Stegostoma tigrinum: one gene and its partner. The protein of the gene in region 2 interacts with the protein of the main gene of each other region in a pairwise test. Links are inferred from orthologs where the notes say so. Each region holds a gene or a part of one and is shown on either strand. Other genes may lie near its edges.

Region 1 (7,516 bases), on a different chromosome or scaffold from region 2:
TCGGAGGGGACAGGATCAGACAGAAATCGGTGTATACATTGAACATTGAAGACTTCGGGTTAATACAAGATTCTGAGGGGGAGACAAACCGATCGCATTAAAGGGTGCCCCCCAATTATAAATAAACGGACAAAAAAACTATAAATTATTTGCCGATAGGGTTTTTGTTTTGATGTTATATGCGAGTAACACTTTCGAAATTTGAAACGTATAGGGAAGGGGGATGTTCTTTTTTTAAATAAGAATTCGTCCTCAAAGAGAGAAATCGACAAGAGAACTGTGCACAGTACAGAAACGTCGTTATATTAAACGCCTCGTTGTATTCTGAAGCAGCCAAACCAAACAGAAGACATTTGAAACGGCGCGCAATATACAGTCCAAAAACAACCGTGAAGAGGAATCGCTGAACAGCTAACAGTTTGAAAACATCAACAAAACAAAAAAAATTCCAATTGCCTGCGCATAAGATTCGCCCCCACACACCCTCCCTCCCTCCCTCCCTTAATTAATAATTCTTACAAAAATGTACAGAGTTGACCCAGTCCGATTGTGAGAGGGGGATAGGTTTAAGATGAGTTCATGATTGGTCTGGAATACACACCTTGGTAGTAAGACGTGTCGTTGGCGATGGACGATGGATCTAAGACCCCTTTGGAGGTCATGGGGAGGTTGGCGGACATAGGGGAGCTATAGTTAGAGTAATGCATTACTTGGTCATACGCCTTCAAGTCCATTTTGTGATGTTGCTGTTCGGAAGACATCAAGTTGTTGATTGAGAACGGGTGGTTGAACGAGTAGTGGTGCTCGGGTTTCAGGTGCTCCTGACCTTGCGACGGCAGGTGGGACAGCACCGGGTGATGCTGGTGCATGAGGTGAGGCGGTGGCGGAGGCGCCTGGCTCACCGCTCCGTTACCGTGCTCCGGGCTCAGGGTGGAGCTCCGGGACTTGAGGTCAGCCAGCGGTCTCTTGGGCTCGCCTCCTCCTCCTCCGCCTCCGCCGCCGGGAGACCCGCCGGACTGCGGTGACTCGTTCCCGGCGCTGGTATCGGTGCCGCTGCCGGCGGAGCAGCTCTCGGACGCCTTGCGGCCGGGGTCTTGCTGCGAATTCTTTAGCGCCTGCTTCTTCTCGCACTTGAAGCGCTTCTGGCGCCGCAGGTAGCAGCCGTTCTCGAACATATTCCCCGAGTCAGGGTGCAAGGTCCAGAACGAGCCTTTGCCCGGTTTGTCTGGGGATCTGGGCACCTTCAGGAAACAGTCATTGAAGGAGAGCGAGTGGCGGATGGAGTTCTGCCAACGTTGCTGGTTCTGGCGGTAAAAAGGGAACAGATCCATGATCCACTGGTAGATCTCACTGAGAGTCAGCATCTTGTTGGGAGACTGCTGAATGGCCATGGTGATAAGGGAGATGTAGGAGTAAGGAGGCTTGGCGTGGGTATAACTGCGGCGGTAGGTCTTGGGATCCCTGGACCTGTTCAGGTTGGATTGGCCGTAGAGCGGACTCATGCTCATGTTGGTGTACGAGGTCAGGGCGTTCATGGAAGTCGCCTGGGCGCTCATCGGACTCATGCTGGGGCTCAAGGCGCTGCCCATGCCCGTCATGCCTGCTCCCATGCCATTCATTGCCCCTGCTCCGGGGGACATGCCAGTCATAGCCGGGCTCATGCCGGTGCCAACGTAAGACATGTTCATGGACCCTGCTGTCATGTTGGCCGTGGTGCCCATCGCGGACATAGTCATGTAGGTGTTCATGCCATTCATTCCAATCCCCCCATTCATATTGCTTACTGAGGGGTAACCCTAGGGCAGGAAACAAGAAAAGCAGACGGTCACCTTTGTTTTGAGAAACGAACTGCCCTTAAGCGCCTGAGCTAATCGTAAAAGCAGACAGTAACAAGGCATTCACTTCCATGTTGGCATCACTCACAATGCGTCCCACTCACTCCTGAGAAGCAAAATCTCACTTTTTAAAAAAATTGATAATTGGGTTTTTATTATTGTATACAAAAGAGAAAAAAGTCTATTGAATTGCATTTTAACTATCAAACTCGATCGTTAATTCTGCCTGAAAAAAATTCAACGAATTTTCCTGCAGTAACGATTTGAAAGGAAAATAATGAAACGGTTGAACTAAATTAAAGGCGATAAAGGACGTAAAAAAATTGTAACAAAAACAGCTGCATTAAAGCGGACCTGTCAAAAGGCATTTAATAAAACCGTGGCGTAGCCAAAACTCACTCAACATCTGACTTTCGAATAAATAAGGTTTGAGTTTAACGATCAGCTCAAAGTAAAAGGGAGCTAAATAAGTTAGGTCTCCAGCGCTTTCGAAGTATGTAAATGTACAACAGAAACTTTATTTTAGCCAAATACAACATTGTTTAAAGACTGTTGAGGTACAAATCGAGGAGGAATTGGAGCCGCGCAAGTCAATATTTGATCACAAAGTTAATATTATCTTAAGGCTAATATTATCTTGTACATAAAGAGGATTGCTTTAAAAAAACCAAAAAAAAAAGCGCCGAAAGCTTACCTCGGACTCTGCATAGTAGGAACTCCAGTCTGTGTGGTCGTGTCCTTCCATTTTCACTGCGCCTAGCATACTGGAGGTAGGGTGCATTATAGGGCTCGAGAGAGAGAGAGAGAAAAAGTTCCTGCTGATCGTGGGCGATAGATTACCCCCGTGTCCGATTGCGGAATGGCTTATTTTTTGGGGAGGGGTGTGTTGTGTGTGGGAGGTGGCGGAGGGGGTGTGTGTATGTGTTGGTGGGGGTGGAGGGGAGGGGTGGGGGAGTTGAGGGTGGGGGAAGTGCTGGATTCTGCAGCCCTAATGCTAAACTGCAGCGAACCAGCGATCCTAGCGATGACAGTAGTTTGGAGTGACGTGAGTGGCTCAGCGGTGCACGGTGATATAAGCAGTCAGACCGCCAATCCCCAATTTCCTCGCAATCCTATTTGAATAATCATTTCACACCTAGCCGTGAGAACACACAGCTTGGCCCCCACCTGCTACCAGCATCAAAACGTGGGGGGGGGGGGGGGCGGTGGGAGAAGAATTTTGAACAAATTCATTAAACCTACGTGTGATTTGTTCCATTTATAGATTTCGAAGGGGGAGGGGGTCGTGTGGAATGGAGGGAATTTCTACCTCACTTCTTTGGGGGAAAAAAAAGTCCAAAAGAAAAACCTGGTCCATTGGAAATGTCCGCGCTGCAACGTGAGTCATTTTGTAAATGGAAATTGGCAAATTAAGATTTGGTTTTCTTTATTGAACAAGAGTTTGAGATCTGTCACGTTTCATTATGTCTCTCCAGCCACCCCCATCTTCACCCCTTCCTCACCCAGAGCTCTTACACCGGACATAAATTTAAACCGTGGACTGTCACAGCGTATTGCACACATAAATAAGCTAGTTGCTAAAAAATGACCGGCTGCTTTCCTCTGAAAATCAAAGCTGGGCTCCATCCGTATCTCGAAGGGAGGCCTCGGGGCGTGATTATGGGGTGCAAGCTGACTCGGTTGTATGTTTAACATAGTCCCAAAGAACTCCTTCCTGCGACCATTATTGTAAGAAAAACAAGCATACTTTTTTTCCCAGGGGGTATATAATGGAAATCGATATAATATTAACCCGCCTTCATGAGGGTAACACTCTACCCTTGGCTCAGTTTTAATTGTCTTGAGGATAGAGGAGACAGCATGCGCCTTTTCACTGGCGCCGCCAAACTTGCGAATACTGAACTGCCCGGAAAAGGTGCATGGCTCCTTCGAGAAATTCAGAAAGATCCGTGGTTTACAATTGATCGTTGCTAAAGACACGGGAGATGGTAATAATTTTAGTAAAACGGCGTGTCAGACACACCTGCGCGGACACACATACGTGCACAAACACACACACACACCATATTATTCTGTTCATTTCTTCAAAACACAACTCAGTTTCCTACCATTAGTCAGCGTTTGTATATGTACAAATAGGCGCTTGAAGCACCTCGAAATTCCTTTTTTCAGGACAAATGTCTTTTTTCAAAGCATCTTTTGTTTTTGAGCCGAGTTTAAATGCAGCTGAAACCGACCCACTTTGTGATTCCTGCATCACTGGTGGACTTAACATTCATGAGAAAATGACACTCCTTATCGAGAAATGTTTTCGTTTAGTCATTCTGGGGGTGAGGAAATGAGTGGTTTGGGGGGAGTTGGTGGAAATGTTATGGAGTTTCAATAACCCCTGCAGTACATTAAGACTGTGCAGTGAAAACAGCTTCTAATGCGAGACTAGCTGTAAGCGGAATACGAGCACTACAACATTGATACTGCGAGGCTGCATTCTGTGTTTCACCTGACGAAGGAGAGGGACCACAGTGGAAGTGTGAGGGCCTTTTCGATTTCCATTCAGGAGACCACTGAATGTGGGACATAAATCAGGTTGTCTGAGGTATATTTTAATCCGGCAGCAGATTACAAGCCCCACTACTGATGGGGTCTGGTAATTGTTTCAGGGAATTCTGCCCACTGTGTCCCCATCAAAATCACAAGGGGTATCTAGTAGAGTAACAACAAGTCCACGCAGCTACAGAAAAATAAAAGCAAACACGTTATGAAACTATTACTGAAAAACAAACCCATAATAAATAAACAGTAATCTCGTGGCTGTATGAAATATTAATGGAAAGGAGGTATAATTCAATCTCTCCTGCAGCTTCTCAGCAATGCGGCCCATTATTTGAAGGGGCAGCTTGGTCCATTAGGAAGAAACAGATTTGAGCCCCTCTGATCACATCTAATGGGTGCCTCCAGCTCATGCAAACAGCGCTGGTATTTTGGAACTTTCGCTGTTAATCCATAACGTTTATAAATGTTTTTCTTTCTCTCCCCCCCCCCCCACCCTAGCGAGCGTGTGGGCCGTTCTTAGATTTTCCAGCAGCAAGCAGAGACTTCCCCAGAGCAAATGTTTACTGAAAAACACCTCGTCTGGCTCACAGCGCTCAAAGCTGTAAAAGTTGACCTTGTTTGCATTTACTTTCCGAAGGGGAGTGTTACACAAACTTTATTTTTAAAAAGAAAGTGTTAGCGGCTCGTCCCCTCCTGCAACAAAAAAAACGCGACACCTGATAGTGACTCACAGCCCAGGTAAGAACAGCGCTGGTTTCAATATTGAAGCATTTTTTTCTTCTAGTGCAGCGAATTAGCCAATGAAATAGAGAAAAAAAGTCTTGATTTCAAAATGTTCTAAAAATAAAGTCACCACAGCCGTACCAAACCAGAGGGCTTCTGTTTCATGACAGAGTACACGGACCGCGATTTGAATGATTTGTACTGTAATGATATGAATGAGTTTGCCACGATAAACAGAATAAAAAAGTTGGACAAGGGCTCCCCCTGGTGGTAATTACACCACAGCCAGTTCTGACCAACTTTTCTCACCTATTACACCAAACACTGTTAATTCGATGGGAATCTTCCTTTTCAGTAGGTGTTTGAACATTGTGAACATCCCCGTTTCCTACCTCCGGAAAGTGTAGCGGATCAGTTTTTGTTTGTTTCGCCTGCATATGGAAACCATTTGGCCTATATTTCAGCTCTACAGTCAGTTTCAATCCCCTTAATCTTTACACAGAGCATGGCAGGTCTTCCCGTTTAGAAATGTGTAAGTCAATGTTTTTTTTGATGTTACAATTGAAACAAGTCTTCACCACATTTTCATGCAGAGCGTACCCCACCGAGGCAACTTGCTGCATATTCTATAGCCTACTATTTCGTATTCGTGCGTTAGTTGCTGGAAACTGTTTATTCACAACAGTTTACGTAGAATCCACACAGTGTGGAAACAGACCATTCGGCCCCCTCATGTCTACACCCCTTCTCCGAACAGCATCCCACCCATACTCACCCCTCTAGCCTCTAACCTTGCATTTCCCATGGCTAATCCACCTAACCAGCGCATCCCCGGACACTACGGGCAATTTAGCAATCCGCCGAGCCTGGACTGTGGGAGGAAACCGGAGCACCAGAAGGAAACCCACGCAGACGCGGGGAGAATGTGCACGCAGACACTCACCAGAGGGTGGAATTGAACCCAGGTTCATGGCGCTGTGAGGCAGCAGTGCTGATCATTGAGACACCGCATTTTGAACATCCCTATTAGATTTCACCTGAGCCTTCTTGATGCCAAGTGGAATGAACTCAGCATCTTTAGTTCCTTTAGAAAATTGAGGTCCCTTTAATCTGATCTAATTTTTTTTTGTTTGTCCTGTGATGTTGTCAGCCAAGCGCAAGTTCTTGAAACTCAGACTCCGCTTCAGTTAAACCAGAATTGAACAACGAATGCTTGACAGCTACTGCAGTGTTTTCTCCCTTCTTCTTTGATTTGATTTGATTTATTGTTGCAATGTACCTAGGTACAACGAAAAGTTTTGTTTTGTGCGCAGTACAGCTCATACAAAGGACATTAGGGCAATAAAACAGAGCAGGGAATGGAATGTTAACAGTTGCAGAGAAGGTGCACAGAGAATGAGATCAAAATTAAAATTAAACTCTGAGAGGTCCTTCTTACACCTGTACAGACCAGCACCTGTGAGTGAACACTATTCAGAGATTTCAAACTTTACATGTACCTTCGTCAAGGCTTTGACATCCTTTCTGAAGTGTGATGTGCAGAGATGGATGCAATGATTTAGTTCAGTTCAAAGGTTCAGCATAGTTTTCTTACAAAGTGTGTATTAATAAAACCAAGGGCTGATGTATTTAATTTTAACATGCTCATTAACTTGTCCTTGCATCCTCTATTTTTATATGAAGATTATACTGTGTCGAATTAGCAGGCTTCAGGATGCTTGTGGTAGGCATGTTAGGGCTTCCTCCTACAAAATAGAATTCTTCGTGAAGAACTGCGTTCAGTTGCAACTGCTAGAAGTGTAATAATGAGTCATAGAGTCATACAGCACAGAAACAGACCGTCTGGTCCAACCTGTCCATGCCAAGTCTCACAAACTGAACTAGCCCCATTTGTCTGTGTTTGGCCCATATTCCTATACACGTTTCCTGTTTGTTTACTTGTCCAAATGTCTTTTCAATGTTGTCACTGTATTTGCATGTACCACTTCCTCTGACAGCTCATTCCAGATAGGCACCATTCTCTGCGTGAAAAAGTTGCCCCTCAGGTCTCTTTTAAATCTTTTCCTCTCTCCCCTGAAACCTCTGCTGTTTTGAATTCCCCTACCCTGGGGAAAAGATATATGACAAGCGCAGTAAGCAGATGCCTGGAAAGGCTGGTGCTGTCAGTGAAGGAAAGGCGAGGTGTTGGTCACAACCATTTGCACTTTTGTGACTCCCTTACATTGTGGAATCCACCAAGCATAGAATTTGCATTCCTACATAGAGTGCAACTAAAGACCCCGCAGGGGCAACATCTGAAACAGAGCTTCAAAGTCCCATGTTGGGCAATCGAGGTAAATCAGTCTTTCTCATTTTTTTGTAGAATCATCCCTACAATGCAGATAGAGACCATTATGCCCATCAAG
Region 2 (7,241 bases):
GGTTAAATTTTACAGCATTATATCAATCAAAGCAAAAGCCAAGTTGAAACACATTCCCATTTTTTTGGGCAAGCATGCATCAGCTGAGGAGATAATTTAATAGTGACCTTTTAAGAAGTAAATCAATGTCTTAAGGACTTACTATCAATCGAATCTTGAGGATTAGAAATCACAAAGTCACTACTTCTCTTGGGTAGCTTGCATCCCACAATTAATGCTTTCTTGGCAAACAACCAGAGTCAAAGCGCCATTTAATACATCAATCACTTGAGATTTGCTTTGCGCACATTGTCCACCTTCCTTGTGCTTTGTTTGTTATTTTAATATTCTCAAAAATAGTTTTGCCTCATTTCAGTTCATCAATTGAGTATCTACGCCTCATGTACAACAGCAGCTTCAGTTATCACAAATATACAATGCAGTAACTTATGACCGTTGCTTTAAACCTCAAAGAGCTTTTATTTCTCCCATCCCCATAAACTCCACATGCAGAGCCAAGCAGCAGCATCAGTTCACCTTAAATTAGATCTTTGTGTATATAAGAGCATTACTTACACTACACCATGCTCTGTGGACAATACATAAAACCTTCTAGAATAATAAATTCTGTTTATCAAGCCGTGATGATCATGCCAACTTTCCAGCCATACAATAACATTTGGATTTTAACATTATGTTGTAAATACATTTGTTTTCCTGTAACCCTAATCCACCATACAACATTAAAAAGTGAAATTTGAAATGAAATACTTGCTATTAAGAAAATGTAGCAGCTCTAACCAACATCTGAAAGAAAAGGTAAACATTCCAAGTTCTAATTAATGACCTGATCCAAAATGGTTAAGTTATTTTCTTCCTTCAGATTAGATTTGTTGATGGGAAATGTTTTGCTACTTCTACTTTACCATGCCCAAAAAAAATGTTTCTATAAAAATGAGCTTACCTGTTTGTGCATCTCAATATTCAATCCATAAGACATTTCATAATACTGTAAAGGAAAAAAAAATGATAAACCAAGTGATAGTGATCTTTTGATGAAACTGAAGAGTGAGTTTTCAGTAGTCTACTCCCCAGGTCAGATTGGATAACGTCACAAACTAATACCACGCTACTTCTAATTTTACAAAATAATTGTTTAAACTCACCATAACATAGTGTCGCTGCATTTCTGTCTTTTCACTTGCCAATTTCTCACATTCCAATTTTAGACTATAAAACACAAAATTTAAAAAAAATCTTTCACAAGATGTAACTGTCGTTACAAGGTCCAGTGCTTGTTACCGATCCCTAACAACCCCGAGAATGTCAACATAGGAACTTCTTGAAGCAACAAGAAAGCATCTTAAATAGAGTACCTACATAAGAGACTGCAGTAATGGCAAAAGCGGAAGTACTGGATAAATCAAAAGGACAACTCGACCCCTTGTAATGGACCGGATATTAAAATTCAACTGTAAACATCAAGATACATAAAGCAAATAAACTCAATTGTTCTAAATGGATAAAGTATTGACTTAAACCGAATTATACGCAATCGAAATCAGCTCATGTAATTTACGATTTTCAACGATGTAATTCATGAGTGTCAAAAAAAACAGTTCAGAGGGTTTAGATCACTCAGGCTCCTGGTTTCCTCAATGTGTGGTTTGTTGCAATCTTTTGAAAGGAAACAAAATCTGGCCGCAGCGAGAGCGCCGCTCTCTGGTGAGGCAAAGTAACCACTGGCTACCTACCGCAGACAAACCAAATAACACTGGAGCCTGGACTAACCAGCAGCAAATAAACATACTTTTCCCCGGCAGAGAATGGGAGACTTCTTTCACCTGTGATACTGAGCCTGTAAAAACTGGAACTCTTCTTTAATACGGTCCAACGATTCGGGGATGGTAAATTTGAAAGGCTGGGCTGCAGCCTGGTGCGGCGTCTGAGAAAACAGTAGGTAAGGAAACAAGAATTACAAGTACACAGAGATAACAGATCGCGAACGAATCAACGCGCAGCCTAGGCAGATTTATATCAGAAACTTTCCGACAGAAGAAAGCGACGAACACAAACACATGACACTGAAAGAGGGCAAGGTCCTCTGACAGAATTAAACACCGGACCTTTTGTTGGTCCAAGTAAGCTCAGTAGAATCAGTGATCTTCCTGCCCAACTTTCAGGGGGACAGTTATTGAGATGACATTGGTTCAAAACATAGTAATGAACTGATGTGCACGCAGATTTTTGGGAACCGGCTAGAAGTAGTTTTCCGCTTACAAAATACATCACACGACACGTTGCTGGTAGTGCAACTATACATTAGTCCGCTGAAGGTGTTTTCCTTTCCTTGAATAAAGATCACACAATGAAGTAACAAAGCGGTTGGCCAGGAGAGCTGCTTTCTCTTTACTTACAGGATGCCTGCTCTGAGGAAACATTGCTTGGGTCCGCCAGAAGCTCAGTTCCGTTGCTCAAACAATCGCTCGATCTTCTTTAAGAAACGCACATTAATAACAATCCCCTCTAAAAGAAAAATAAAGTGTTTACTGCAAGCGCATCCTGGGTTCGGATCCCCAAAAAGGTGGTGTTTTAAGAGGCTTTAAAGCCCTCAGGGAGGCTGGCAGATTCCGCTGTCCCGATTCAACTCCTGTCGATCTTTAGGACAACAAAACCTTTCGGAAAACAGCAATTGCCACTTCTGTAACAAGAACAAATTCCTAAGCCGCCCCAGGAAATCTTCTCGACTTCTCTTTTTTTCGATTGCAGTATATCCAATAGAATAAATATAAAAGGTATACCGTGCGAAGTTTAAGCGGGTATAATTGCTACAGTGGAAAACAATGTAGCAGTTTCCCCCACACAGACTGGTTACATTAACACGCGGTTTCTTCGCTTCCCCCCACCCCCCCTCGAGAGATCGCTCACCAAATTTAGACACGCGCAGTCTGAGGCTACGTTCCGTTCCATTCTACGCCAATCAGGATCCGGAAAGCGACCTCTGTCACACGTGGGGTTATGTCGTCATCACGGAGTGTTGCCCAATGGAAGGTGGTGACCGCAGGAGGCCAGCTGTCAGTCAAGCTGAGCGGAGACTGAACCCAGCAATCGCAAGACGGCCTGCCATTGGACTCTTTTTCCATTGGATACTATTGCACATCAATCACGCTGACGGCTTCGCCCTCAGACCAATTAAGGGCAGTATTGTGTCCGTTTGTCTCTTTCTGATTGGTCTAATTCTTTCACCCCGCCTTCGCATTGCCCCCACCACCCGCGCGGGCTAAACTGAAACGGTTCGAATCAAACGAGTGGCCGTCCGTCAGTCAGTCAGAGAGAGACAATAGGGCGGTGGCGGGCTCAGCTGTCACTCAAAGTAACGTGGGTTCCAAACACTGACAGGGGAAAAAACACAGACAGACGAGCCTTTGTCCCACCCACAACTAAAAGAACCAGAGCAGGAATGTTAACTAATTATAACAATGTAGAGAAGCTTCACATCTCGGTTTTGTTGCAGTGCATTTTGTCGGGCTGTTATGATTGTCGAAAGCAACTTTGAACAAAACGGTTTCCTTGAAGCCAATGTAATCATAATTTTAGGTCTTGTTATATACGAAGCATTAATTAAATAAATTGGAATTTATTTGGTAGGTACTTATGCCGCCCCTCCACATCGCTCCCCGCTCCCCAATTTTTATCAAGATCTACTTCATTTTAAGTCCTAGGTTTGGTAAAAGCGTCAACACATCAACAATGTTAGTGCTGAAATGCACATCAAAGCGGCCCACGTGTGTTTTCATTTCGTTTTACTAGAAAATTGTATCCAGATGTTTAACAGGTATTATATCGGCTTTTCCAGACTTGATTACATAGATTTATTCTGTTTACAGCTCTCCTCGCTTGTTAAGTGACACAAGAAGTATTCACGGTGAACGTTAATTAATTATTGGAAATAGTTATATGTGTTGAGAAACAGATTATATCTATTACAACCACCCCCGCTCTCACCTCCACCAACACCACCCCCACCCAGACTACAATTTGCTCGGGGTCCGGACTAGATTTTTGTTGGGGGAAAGTCTCGTGGTGATATTCTCCAGACAATACCTTCTTTGCACGCAGGACCTCTGTGAGCTGAAACTGTGGTAAATGTAAAGACTCCAGACCACACGCGCGATACCTAAAAGACGCCTTCATTTGTTTCAACTGCTTCATGACAAGAATCTTAGTACAATATAATATTCTTATTCCACTCCTAAGTAACTCATGGTATCGCTCCTGTCAAGGCGTCATGCCATCCGCGAACCCTTTACCAAGGTGTCGTAAAAATGCAGACAATTCCCCGTATTAATAACAAGTTAACTTTTAATATACATACATAGACATCTTACACAGTAATAGGCTATGGAACGATTAAAAAATTAACAATACACTGCACACTGGGAATGAGGACTGAATATTTCAAATGCGAACCAAAAGATCTACGGATTCTAGAATCAGAAACAAAAACAGAAATTGCTGGAAAAGCTCAGCAGGTCCGAAGAAGGATCACCGAACCCGAAGAGTTAATTCTGAGTTTTCTCAACAGACACTGTCAGACCTGATGAGCTCTTCCAGCAATTTTACTCGGTAGGTCTGGTAGCATCTGTGAAGAAAAATCTGAGTTAACGTGTCGGTTCCAGTGACCCTTCCTCAGAACAACTGATGTTTACCATCAATTTCTGTGTTTATATTTCAGATGAATCTGGTTTAGAGGGCAGTGTGCGATTATATGCAGCTGTAAATCAGTTCCCATTTTTAAACCACATATCCAGTCCTTATTTTCACATCATTATATCGGAGTATTCTATAAACAATTCTTGAGTTCAAATATTTCATGCTTTTGTCATGGTACTGTGTTTTTAAAACAATTTCTGTATGGTTACCATGCTGTCACACCATTTCAACTTTGCAATTACAGACAGCTTGTACTGCTAAGGGAAGATTATATATTTAAAAAATCATGCCCTGCTTTTCAAATTGCAAAATTTTAGAACAACTCTGCTAGATAACAACTAAATTTAAAGTAATATATGAAAATATGGTTCAACTTCATGAAACTCAACATTACTCCCTGTCCTTAATTCCTGCTTTACCTTAAAGTGCACTTGAATTTGACTATTTTTGGGATAATTTTCAACTGCCTGCCACAGAAAGGGCAGATGGCAGCAGCTGAAAACATTGAAGATGGTGGGCTGCTGGAGACTGGTGGTTTGGTATGATTGTCAGGTTGGAGTGAGAGAGGGTGAATTTTTTGCAAGGGTTAGGGGTATATATAAGTTTGTCAGAAGTTTCACCTTAACCTGCGCATTAATGCTATAAACTTGCGCATTGCAACTTCAACACAAATGTGTGGATGAGTGGGCTATCAATCCCCTGGAACAGATGTAGGTTGCTAAATATACAAATTAAAATTATAAACAATTTTCCATATATTGCTTAGAGAATCATGCACCAAACCTGGTTAACTAGCAGTTCTCAAATGAATTATTGATGGTTGCTCAATAAACAGTTAAGATAAGCTTGTTTTTTTTACATAAGTCCAAGAGGATCAACAATGCCCCTCTGGTTCTTGAAAAAAATCTCTCACTGCTGGTGTATTTGGTCACTACAACTTCTCGCTACCTTTCTATCCCCCCACTCCCCTTACTGTGCACTCCATTGGACTTCTTCCTGCCTGACTTTCCATCTAGATCAACATTAGATCTGGATAACTTCTAACTCCAAGAACAAACAAGGTGCAATGGGATCTCTCTGGGCATCTGTAGCTGCCTAGCAGTTTGCTAATAAATCCCAAGCCTCCAAAGGCTTAAGTTCACACCAACACAAATGGCAGGTGGAGCAGCTGCACACTTTCCATAATGCAAGAGCCCACACTCATCTCCACCTTCAGTGTGTGCTAAGAATTCTGGGTATTTACAAGTCTCCAAAATGCTAAATTTGCGTAGCATCAAATTCTAAAGACTAAATATGGTCTGATTGCAATCTGGTACATACATTTTTAACTGTGTTTTATCTTCTTACAACTTTTCAAACTTCAATGTTCATTGACCTCACTTAATTCTACTGTCTAATTTTATGTAATTTTTTTCCCAATGATACAGATTTCCTGACTAGAAGTGTGGATCTTTTACAAGATTGCAGTGCTAGAATATTGTTATAATGGAATCAGCTAACAAGGAATCCTATACTAAAACAGTTTTATAGGGCTATAACTCAATAATTATAAACTTGTTGATTTTAGCTAAAGTTCCATTAAACTCATAAAGTATCATCATGACTGATCTATGGCCTAATTCCATAAACCCACCTTTGTCCTGTATCCCTTGAAAAACAAATATCTACTAATCTCGGATTTAAAGCTTACAATTGATCTAGTATTAATTACAGTTTGCAATTCCAAACTTCTATCAACCTTTTTCCTGTGGAAGTGTTTCCTAACTTCTTTTCTTAAAGGTCAGGTTCTAATTTATATTCCCCTGGAACTAGACACCCAGCCAATGAAAAGAATTCATTTTTATTTATCCTACAAGTTCCCCTTAGTACTGTGCAAACTTTTTATCAAATCTCCCTTAAACCTTCTAAACTCAACAGAATACAATTGCAGTTTGTGGAATGCATCCTTGTAACTTATACCTGGATATAGCCAAAGGCTCATTATTTCATTTAAAGGGGAGATAACCAAGACTGGCTCCTCAATGCATTCTAGTGCTCTTGTTACACAGCAGTGTCAAGATTAAAATTTGCTCTTCAATTTCAAGTAGAGCTGATGATTGGGGGAGAACGTATAGATGGAGTGGAGAAGGCAAAAGTGTCAACCATTTGCATAATTCACTGTTCTAGGTGGAGGTATATTTGAATAAAGCACACATCTATCTGGAAATATGACATCAATAGTTTCAAGCAATAACCAAAAACCTTGATTTATATTTGCATCCATTTAGAAAATACTTCACATCAGATAAGCATGCAATTGGAAGCATTATATAGAATAGGATATACTATTTACATAACCCTGCAACTATCTTATTTATCCATCATGCAGCCAATGCAAACACTTCAGCTGTATAATCAAGTAAGTTTCTGATTCAACCCCTCAGTGACATTGTATGCGACACAGCAACACAGAGTAAATTTACATGTTTACTATGTAATCAGAGAAAGCAGTCAAGGTGAAATCTAGTCACTACTAAAGCAGGTCTCTTCAGTGGTTAGAAAGAAGCTGA

What was found.
Region 1: the proteins of transducin-like enhancer protein 1 (region 2) and foxa2 interact in a two-hybrid assay, tested with the Homo sapiens proteins (2 studies listed by BioGRID and IntAct). The link is inferred for Stegostoma tigrinum from reciprocal best matches to the Homo sapiens genes TLE1 and FOXA2.

What each region holds. Positions count from the first base shown.
Region 1 is NC_081362.1:11,946,314-11,953,829, reverse strand, and holds foxa2 (forkhead box protein A2), read right to left. Parts: upstream 2,760-7,516; 5' UTR 2,617-2,759; coding exon 2,530-2,616; exon of another isoform or gene 2,518-2,529; intron 1,797-2,517; coding exon 567-1,796; 3' UTR 502-566; downstream 1-501. UniProt on the Homo sapiens protein: Transcription factor that is involved in embryonic development, establishment of tissue-specific gene expression and regulation of gene expression in differentiated tissues.
Region 2 is NC_081356.1:61,834,767-61,842,007, reverse strand, and holds the start of transducin-like enhancer protein 1, read right to left. Parts: upstream 3,015-7,241; 5' UTR 2,908-3,014; intron 2,879-2,907; exon of another isoform or gene 2,506-2,878; 5' UTR 2,421-2,505; coding exon 2,397-2,420; intron 1,925-2,396; coding exon 1,824-1,924; intron 1,210-1,823; coding exon 1,146-1,209; intron 989-1,145; coding exon 944-988; intron 1-943. UniProt on the Homo sapiens protein: Transcriptional corepressor that binds to a number of transcription factors. Inhibits NF-kappa-B-regulated gene expression. Inhibits the transcriptional activation mediated by FOXA2, and by CTNNB1 and TCF family members in Wnt signaling.